2 linked regions of the Ovis aries genome follow. The protein of the gene in region 2 purifies or fractionates together with the protein of the main gene of each other region. This does not show direct contact. Links are inferred from orthologs where the notes say so. Each region holds a gene or a part of one and is shown on either strand. Other genes may lie near its edges.

Evidence for each region.
Region 1: the proteins of GTF2A1 (region 2) and TBPL1 purify together in Homo sapiens (affinity purification with mass spectrometry; 5 studies listed by BioGRID and IntAct, counting the BioPlex papers as one, with this or other methods). This does not show direct contact. The link is inferred for Ovis aries from reciprocal best matches to the Homo sapiens genes GTF2A1 and TBPL1.

Annotation. Positions count from the first base shown.
Region 1 is NC_056061.1:59,382,042-59,386,523, reverse strand, and holds the start of TBPL1 (TATA box-binding protein-like 1), read right to left. Parts: upstream 2,867-4,482; 5' UTR 2,640-2,866; intron 1,893-2,639; exon of another isoform or gene 1,694-1,892; intron 1-1,693. UniProt on the Homo sapiens protein: Part of a specialized transcription system that mediates the transcription of most ribosomal proteins through the 5'-TCT-3' motif which is a core promoter element at these genes. Seems to also mediate the transcription of NF1. Does not bind the TATA box.
Region 2 is NC_056060.1:90,691,897-90,696,350, forward strand, and holds the start of GTF2A1 (transcription initiation factor IIA subunit 1), read right to left. Parts: upstream 2,932-4,454; 5' UTR 2,517-2,931; coding exon 2,487-2,516; intron 1,504-2,486; exon of another isoform or gene 1,430-1,503; intron 1-1,429. UniProt on the Homo sapiens protein: TFIIA is a component of the transcription machinery of RNA polymerase II and plays an important role in transcriptional activation. TFIIA in a complex with TBP mediates transcriptional activity.

The sequences.
Region 1 (4,482 bases), on a different chromosome or scaffold from region 2:
AGACACGACTGAAGCAACTTAACACACATACAATATTTATATTTCGCATCTCTGTTAAAGGTATCTGCCACCTCTTTGCACATATACGGAATTGGTTTAATAAGAGATGCTGTACCTCAATTCCATGAAAATACCCAGCCAAAAACTCGATTCTGACATCAACCAATCAAGAGCACAAAGCAGCAGATCATGATAGTCTCAGAGACTGACTTTGAGGGCAGAATACAAAAGCAGGGGTTTGGGGGATCAGGATGAAACGTTTTTGCTTAAGACAAGCCAGACTTAGGGGAAAAGTAAGAGGGAAAAAAAAAGTAAGGGACAAAGAGAAACCACGGTTGACATCATTGCTTCTGTGATTTATCAATTTTCTTTTCATCTTTAATCTTCAACTAAAGAGCTTTGTTCCTGCTGGACACAAAAATAGTATTACTGTAGCATGCATATATGGCCATTTCAGTATGCCACAGGAAAACCTCATTTACTGACCTAGAAAGGTTTGGGAAGCATAAAACCATTAAACAGAGGCCTAAGGCCTAAAGAGATGGCACAAACTGGTAAGCAAGATATCAGCTGTGAATAATTCTTTCAACTACAGAGCGATGATAAAAGTCCTTTTTCGATTTAACTGCCATTTTCTCAAACTTTCCAAAAGGCTGCAGATTATGCTAAATTAGCTAAACCTTCTCATATTTCTCTTTTTCAATTTCCCCACGGAAAATGTCATTCTCTCTGCAAACAAAAATCACACCAAGCTTGTTTCCTTTTCTTTCCTTGAGCCAATTTTAAGTCACTCTTCTTAACCCTAAATACCCAAGCCCACGCTGGTCAATTGCCAGTGTCTCTCTAGAACTGCAGGTGACAGATGCAGTCAGAGAGCTCACAGACGTGGATTGGCTGCGGTCTGAATCCTATTGCAATGAACACACTGACAGAGCCCGCAGAAGCACATCTCAGCAGAAGGAGAGAGTTTAAAAACCGTCGTTTCCAATCGAATTTACTTTTAGACCTCTTACTGGCTATTATGCTCTTACCCCGGTTCTCAACCTTGCTTAGTCCTACGTCCTACCCATTTTATCCTCCTCAGTTTCAGATCCTTCATCAAGCCTAATTCTGGTTAATACTACTACTAATAATAAATTAAAAAAAAAAAGGGTGGGGGGAGGTGCTGCAGGCATTGCCAAAAGTAGGAACGACCAAGGTGCTATTTGGGAGCCTTCCCGCCGCGGCCGAGGCCGCATGAAGTTTTCTGGGAAGCAACGGACCCTTTTAGCATCTTTGCACGATTTCTCGTCCCCTGGGTGAGGGCTCCACAGAGAAAGATGGGGAATCTCCCTTCTCCAGTCTTTCCCAGTGGTGGCTAACCCAAGAAATAAAAATATCTCTTCTTATCCCACACCCCGCCGGATAACGTTCCCAGGCAGTGACGCCCCACCCCCACCCCGTTATCCCAGACGAGATCCCCAAATATCACCCCGTCCTCCTGAAAGCTGGACCCTCCCTCGGCCGCTGGACCAATTTCCCGCATCGGAGCTGCTCTTCCCCCTCGCCCAGGCATCCGCCCCCGCACACTCCATCACCAGCATGCCCGCGGCTCCGCACAAGCCCGCCCCGCGCCAAGACGCCCCGCAACCGGCACTCGGGCAGCCCCGAAGCCCGCGCTACCCCTCCCGCCCAGGGTCGCCGACCGGGTTACCGTGGGAAGAGCGGGCGGCGGCAGAGGACGCGGCGGCAGCGCTGCTGCCGGTTGCGGCGGACGCGAAGGATAAGCTGGAGGATAAGGATGATGATGAGGCGAGCACGCTCCCCAGTCTCCATGGAACTCCTGCCCCGGCCGGTTGCTAGGAGCCCCGAAGGCTCGGGCTCCGTCTTTCGTGCTTTGTTGTTCCGGGTACAGGGCGGCCGCTGCTTCCCCGCGACAATAAATAGACCAGACGCGGGGGAGCATAGAGACAACGCTCGGCGGCTAGAGCGCCGCCGGACAGAGCCCTCCTGGGTTCCTCGCTAGCCAGTCATATCCGGCTCTCACTGCTCCCGTCACTTTCCCCCGCCTCTTCCTCCACTTTCCCTTCCTCCTTCCTGGTGTCCGGGTCGGCCCGGCCTGCCTAAGGGCTTGACGAGGTGGGGTTAGTGAGGAAAGGTGTGTAATAAGCTAGATTTCTTTTGCTTGAGAACCGCCTGGAAAGATTTCGAAAAAACTGTGCATCCCTTGTACATTTTTAGCTAGTAGTTACACATGAGTACGTAATTTCTGGCATACAGTGTAATATAAACGGACTTTAGGGTTTTTATTTTGAGGGGTGGGGGTGGGGCAAAACCGTGCCACTTCTGTTAGCTCATTCAATTCATAGAAAAGGTCCACCATTCAATATAGTTAGCGAAGCTGGTCCTCAACAACTAAAAATTGTTTTCTACTTCTGACGAATACATTTTCTGTTTTGAAAAAGTCCGACCGCTTTTTCGGTTAAACGCGTTAACTTACGTGATCAAACTCTCGTTAAGGAATGCTAATCCTAGTCCTAAAATACAGTGATAGGATATGACAGGTAAAAGAATGGATAGATAGATAGATAGATAGGTGATAGATAATAGGGGTTAGGTCACATTTCTGTCGCCTGCCCCTTTGATATTCCATACTCAACTTGGGTTTGCGGTCAGGACTCTGCCTTGGAAGTCGGGAAGCACTTGAGAGGCTTTTAAGCCGTGTAGCCGGATCCAAGAAGGATGGGAGGAGGGAGAGGGCCGCTGCACGCTGGGTCCGGGCTGCTGAGCAGAGGCGGCGGCGGCGGCGGCTCTGCTCACACGGAAGCCGAGCGCCTGAGGAATGAGACCCTTCCGCGGCTCCGCGCCCAAGTGGCCCTGGAATGACCCGGGGGACTCCCAGAGGCGCACACTTCGCCAGTTTGAACGGCCGCGCTTGGGCCCTCGGGGCCCCTCGGGGGCCACTTGAAGGGTGCTGCCTGCGAGAGCGAGACCGGACTAACGGTCCGGGAGCGCGAAGCAGCGGTGCGGATACCCGCCGCGCCCCCGAGTCCCACTCCCAGGCGGGCCGGCACAGGCCTCTGCTCAGAGTTGGGCTGCAGTTAAAAGCCTCTCCCTGGATGAGACCAGTGGGCAGCTCTAATTTTAATAAAAGGCCCTAAGGGCCTCATGAATACCTGGCCTCTGGTTGGTGTGCATCCGCCATGAATCATGCTAATACCACAGTTCTTTTTGAAATAGATGACTTGGGCTGACTTCTGAGGGGTTGGGGAGGAGGCAACCATTTGAGTATTTCCCTATTTATGGGGTCTCCAAGGATGCCTATAGATCTTTTCCTTCCTACTCTGAATATTCAGTAAAATATGTGAGCATTTAAAGACACTGTAGAATTATGGAACTTTGATCTGTTTCAGTTTCTATAGTCATTTATTCTTTGAACAGTATTAAATAATTATAGCTTGTATTAGGTGTAATGAAGACAGCAAGCAAGAGGCTGGGTTAGAGAGTCATGACTGTGGAGTAGTGGGGAGATGACTTTCAGGTTGTTATCTGAGGGGGAATGGAAGGGGTGCACAGTGTTCCAGGCGGAGGGAACAAGACAGGCTAGAGCTATCTGTGTGGGAGATTGCAGCCATGAAATTAAAAGATACTTACTCCTTGGAAGGAAAGTTATGACCAACCTAGATAGCATATTCAAAAGCAGAGATATTACTTTGCCAACAAAAGTCTGTCTAGTCAAGGCTATGGTTTTTCCAGTGGTCATGTATGGATGTGAGAGTTGGACTGTGAAGAAAACTGAGCATAGAAGAATTGATGCTTTTGAACTGTGGTGCTGGAGAAGACTCTTGAGAGTCCCGTGGACTGCAAGGAAGTCCAACCAGTCCATCCTAAAGGAGTTCAGTCCTGGGTGTTCATTGGAAGGACTGATGCTGAAGCTGAAACTCCGATACTTTGGCCACCTCATGAGAAGAGTTGACTCATTGGAAAAGACTCTGATGCTGGGAGGGATTTGGGGCAGGAGGAGAAGGGGACGACAGAGGATGAGATGGCTGGATGGCATCACTAACTCAATGGACATGAGTTTGAGTGAACTCTGGGAGTTGGTGATAGACAGGGAGGCCTGGCGTGGTGTGATTCACAGGGTCGCAAAGAGTCGGGCACGACTGAGCGACTGAATCGAACTGAACTGAGTAGCCTGGATGGGGCATCATGATCAGTGAGTGCAAGGGGAATCGGACATGAGACAAAGCTGACAAGAAACTAAGGCTTGTACCTTCAGTGACTTCCAGACCATGTGTAAGAGAGTTTGAATTTTCTTTCAAATGTTGGGGGAACTGAAGGGTTTTAAGTGGTAGAGTGGCATGGTCTGATTTACCAAGGAAATGGCAGGAGAAAGGCTCTATTCCAATGATCACTGCCACTGTGGATAAGTCAGCTTTACGGTAACCATGACTAAGGTCTTTACCTGTCACCTTCTTTACAAGAGACCAGCAATATAGCTGG
Region 2 (4,454 bases):
TTGATCTATAGTGATTCAACTACTGAATTACAAAAATACATTTATAAAGTTTTTTTAACCAATGATTCAAAGCATTATAAAGATGCAGTGTAATTTTAAATTGGTAGTATAAATGTCATATTGACGATATAAATTAATTTTTCAGCAAAATAATTGTAATGTTTCTGAAGTTAGTCATCCCTAAATATTCTGCTTGGATATCTGCACATTTATTGGTACAATGTGCCTTCTTCTGGCACTCCCTAGTTAATGAAACGATCCTGCTTTAATATTTTGTTTTTCTGCTTTAATTAACCCACAACCTGACCACTTAATGCATTTGTATGCACTATAGTTAAAGGGAAATGTGTATTCATCATTAAGTACACAGAGAATTTTAAATTGTTCAGGAGTTAAAAAGCACCCAAATTACTGCTGTCTTTCAGAGTATGCGAGTACATAGGCAATATCTGAAAAAAGCAATTTCCAAATTATTATTTAAAACACTAAACTTTACTTGAACCAGTTTCTGCCTTTTATGGAATACACAGTAATTGAGGTTTGTCCTGGTTTTCAAATACCAGATATTCCAAACTCGTGAATTAAAGGGCCATTAGCGTCATTAAGTAACAAAGAATTTCTTTCAAAAGTGTTAGTTCCTAGTACAATACTGGAAAATAAATTGGATTAATTTCTACACGGGATACCATATGAACATGCAATGCAGCAAAAACAGTCTACTTAGAACTTTAATTTTTTAATACCCAGTTTGCACTAAGCCTCTTCACATTACTCACAATTCCCCTAACAATTACTGTACTGTAGACATAAGACTCTACGTCGAAGGTTTAGGCACTTCTCTATTTCTTTGAAAAGGTGTGTGTCTCAAACATTTATTACAGGAAAACATGATGAAATATTAGCAGCTGTATTTCTAATATGTCCTGAATGCTCGGTGAAAAAAATACTACCAAAATCAAACCCTCTACAGCTGGAAGCTAAAGCTTAAAAAAAAAAATAATAACTGACAATAATGCATGTACCTTCTTAAATACAGAAACGATTAGACATCTGAGCTTAAAATTGTTTTTAAAAACAAAAATAAAAAGAAGAGACGGCAAGTCTATTCTCCCCTAACAAAGACCGGCAAATCCCAGCTGCTGCGTCCAAACAAAAACTTGCGGCTGCGAAGGCCGCCCTGACTGGGCACGAAATTACAGTAGGCAGAAAAGGACCTAGAAATAAAAGTGAGCTCTGCACGCGCCTGCCTCTCGCCTCGGGAGCACGCACCTCCCAGCCCCGCTCTCAGCAGCTCTCACTATTTAAAGCCGGATCTGGTGTTTAAATGGAGAGGCGGTGACGTAGGCCTGAAAAGCACCTTCCCATCCTGGCAGAGTCTATATTAGAGAGCGGCAATGGCTCTATATAAACAGGGCAGCCAAAGGGAGGAGGACCACAAGGCTCAGGGACTGAAAAGCAGGGTAAGCGGCCGCAGCCATGATGGATCGACCCGAGTCGTCAACGGTACGGGGCCGGGCTGCCGCGGGGCTGGTCTGCGTTTGGGACCGGGCAGAAACGTTTGTTTTATTGTTAAAATAAAAATAAAAGAGAGTGGGGGTGGACTCGTGATCACACTGCGTTGTTGACTGACAGACAAGGTTATTTATGTGACTGCTTTTTGCAAACCTACGTGATCGCAAGTAAGGAAAAAAGAAAAAAAAAAGGGACCAACGGTGGCAAGTAGGCAGATTTCAAGGCGAAAGCGGGGCACTTTGGACCACTGGAGGCTTTGTTTTGTTTTGGTGCTTTTGCTAGTCGGAGGTATATACGACGTTGGGGGTTGCTTCCCCTTCGCCATTTTACCGATTCGGAAGGAACCGAAATAAGTGCTTTTCAACCTTCGTCTTTTTTTTTTTTTTTTCCAATAATACATAAAATGGCCCCAGTGAAGGCTCCCTAAGCACAACCGCCAGAACACCTCAGAGTAACCCCCAGAGTAGCCATTCGCCTTCCACCGCGTTAACAGTGGATCGCGGTGGGTCTCGAGGGGGGACTCGCCCGGCTCCCCCAGACGCCGGTTTTTTTTTTTTTTGAGACGGCTCGCGGGGAGCCCCTTCTCCTGCCGGTTCGGGGGCGGGCGGGCGAGGGGGGTGGTAGGGAAGCGGCGGCTCCCCTCCTGCCCTCCCCTCCTGGCGGCCGGGGGGGGTCCAGGGCCGGGACCGCGCGCTCGCCCCGGCCCAACCGCCCCGCGGCGGCCCCAGGCCCGGCCGGCGCCCCAGCCCTCCCCGCCGCCGGCGCCCCCTCCGCGAGCCTCGGCGCCCGCCCCCCACCACCCCCCGCGCCCCGCCGCCCCGGCCCGCGCCGCCCGAGGCGGGAAGCGGCGGCCGCGCGCGGGCGGCTGAGGAGAGTCGAGGCCGGGGAGTCGCCGCCGTCCCCGCCCCCGCCCGGTCCGGCCGTTGCTCGCCGCCTGAACGAAGCCCCCGCCGGCCACCGAACCACGTCCTTACCACGGTGTTTGTATTTGCCGAGTTCGCCATTTCCACACACAACACAAACAAGAGTGGGGGGGGCCACCCCGAGGAAACAAGATGAAAACAAAACGAAAGAGAGGAAAAAAATAAAAAAAACACTCGAGGGTGACCCAAGCCACCGCAAAACTGAGGGGAAAATCTTTCAAACAAAATCGGATCCTGACGGAGGAGAGGGGAGCGGCGAGAGGAGGAAGGGGAGGACGAAGGGAGGGGGAGTCCTCCCGGAGCTAAAAAAACTCGAGAATCGCCCTTTAAAAAAAAAAAAAAAAAGGCCACGACCCTTCAGGGGTCCCGGGGGGCGTTGCCCGCTCCCCACCCCCGCGCCAAGGAGGGAAACCACCACCAGTCGCCGCTCCCCGCGCCGCCGCCGCCACCGGCTGCAGCTCCAGCCGTCCGGTCCGCCCGCTTCTCCCCTTTATATAGTGAGCCAACGAGCTGCGCGAGCCGTCGCCGCCGCCGCCGCCGCCGAGAGACAGGGCGGAGGGGGGAGGGAGGGGCGGAAAGGGCGGGGGCAGCGGTGGGCGGGGCCGAGCGCGAGAACACCGCGAGAGCCGCGTGCGCAGGCGCGCCGGGGCGGAGGCCGCCGCAGGCCGCGTTGTCGAGCCCTGTGGAAGGCGTCGTGAGGGGCGGGGCCGACTTAAAGTTGTGAAGACCCGCCGCCTCCCCAAGTCTCGCGTGATCACGTGGTCGGCACCCAGGCGGAAGTTTCGGGCAGCTGCTTCGGAATAGTGAAGTAAGGAGAGGTGGTACAGTCGGGTCCGTATCTTTGCGACCCGGTGGACTGTAAGCCCACCAGGCGCCTCAGTTCGTGGGATTTTCCGGGCAAGAATACTGGAGTGGGTTGCCATTTCCTTCTCCGGCTTCGGGATATAGGGGCTCGCTAACCGTTGCCGGAGAAAAGGCGTGAGTGCTGTTAACCTTGGAGTCCAGAGCTAGCTGGGTGACCGCCTCCTGAAGGGTGTCTATACGCCGTCCGGCGCTGCAGGGGCTCGAAGATGTGGAAGGGACAGTGGCCGTCGCCCCACTAGGCATGGCCGCGGAGGAGAGCCGGTCACGTGCCCCACCCCGTCGCCCGCGCGGGCTTGGACCGTGGGCAGAGGTTCAAATGCGGAGTCATCTCTGAAGAGGAGCTCAGCTCAGATGCCACGTTCGGAGGCGTGGGCACCTCTCGCCTGGCCTGAGTCTTTAGCTTGCAGAATTGTACCGAGTTCCTAAAAGGGATGAAAGCTGATTTGCCACACCACCCCCCTCCCCACCTTAACACATTCCAGAATCAATGACACCTGAAGCCAGATGAGTTGTCTCCGCGGGTACATCCTCTGGGTTTCAAGTTTCCCAAAGGTCCGGGCCCTACTATCCCACGTACTTTAAATGACTTCTCAAGGCAGTGGAAAAAGCCACCCCCTCCCTCTCCAACCCGAAACGGATCACCGGGATTATGACTGCACAAGTCCCACCAGTTTTTAAAAACGTTGCCCCAGTTCAGTGACTCCACGTGGCCAAGGCATATTAACATCTGAAATACTGGGCCTCTGATCCCCGGCCTCTGATCCCCAGTAACTGATAGGGCCTGTTGCTGCTAAAAAGCGGGCAGAAAATGTTGTTGTCTTGGGGTGCAGCTCAATAGACATTTGACCTACTCTGTGGAAGCTAATCACCGGCCTTTATAGCAGCATTTCACACAACAGAGAATGTTCTGTGTTTTAAAAGGTGGAACTTAACAGTACCTAATTTTTTTGTCCATAGGGAATTTCCAGAGGCAGGGAATGTAGTCTGGACAAATGAGGGAGTTTATCCTCAAAAGGCAAAGCAAAACAAAATGTCAAAGTTATATAGTCTCTAAGGTCATATTGGAGGAACCTCACTTGCTTCTCAGTTCCCTGCAGAGTTGCTTGTTTGGGAGCATCATAAGGAAAAAAATAAATCACAGAAAATGATAGTGTT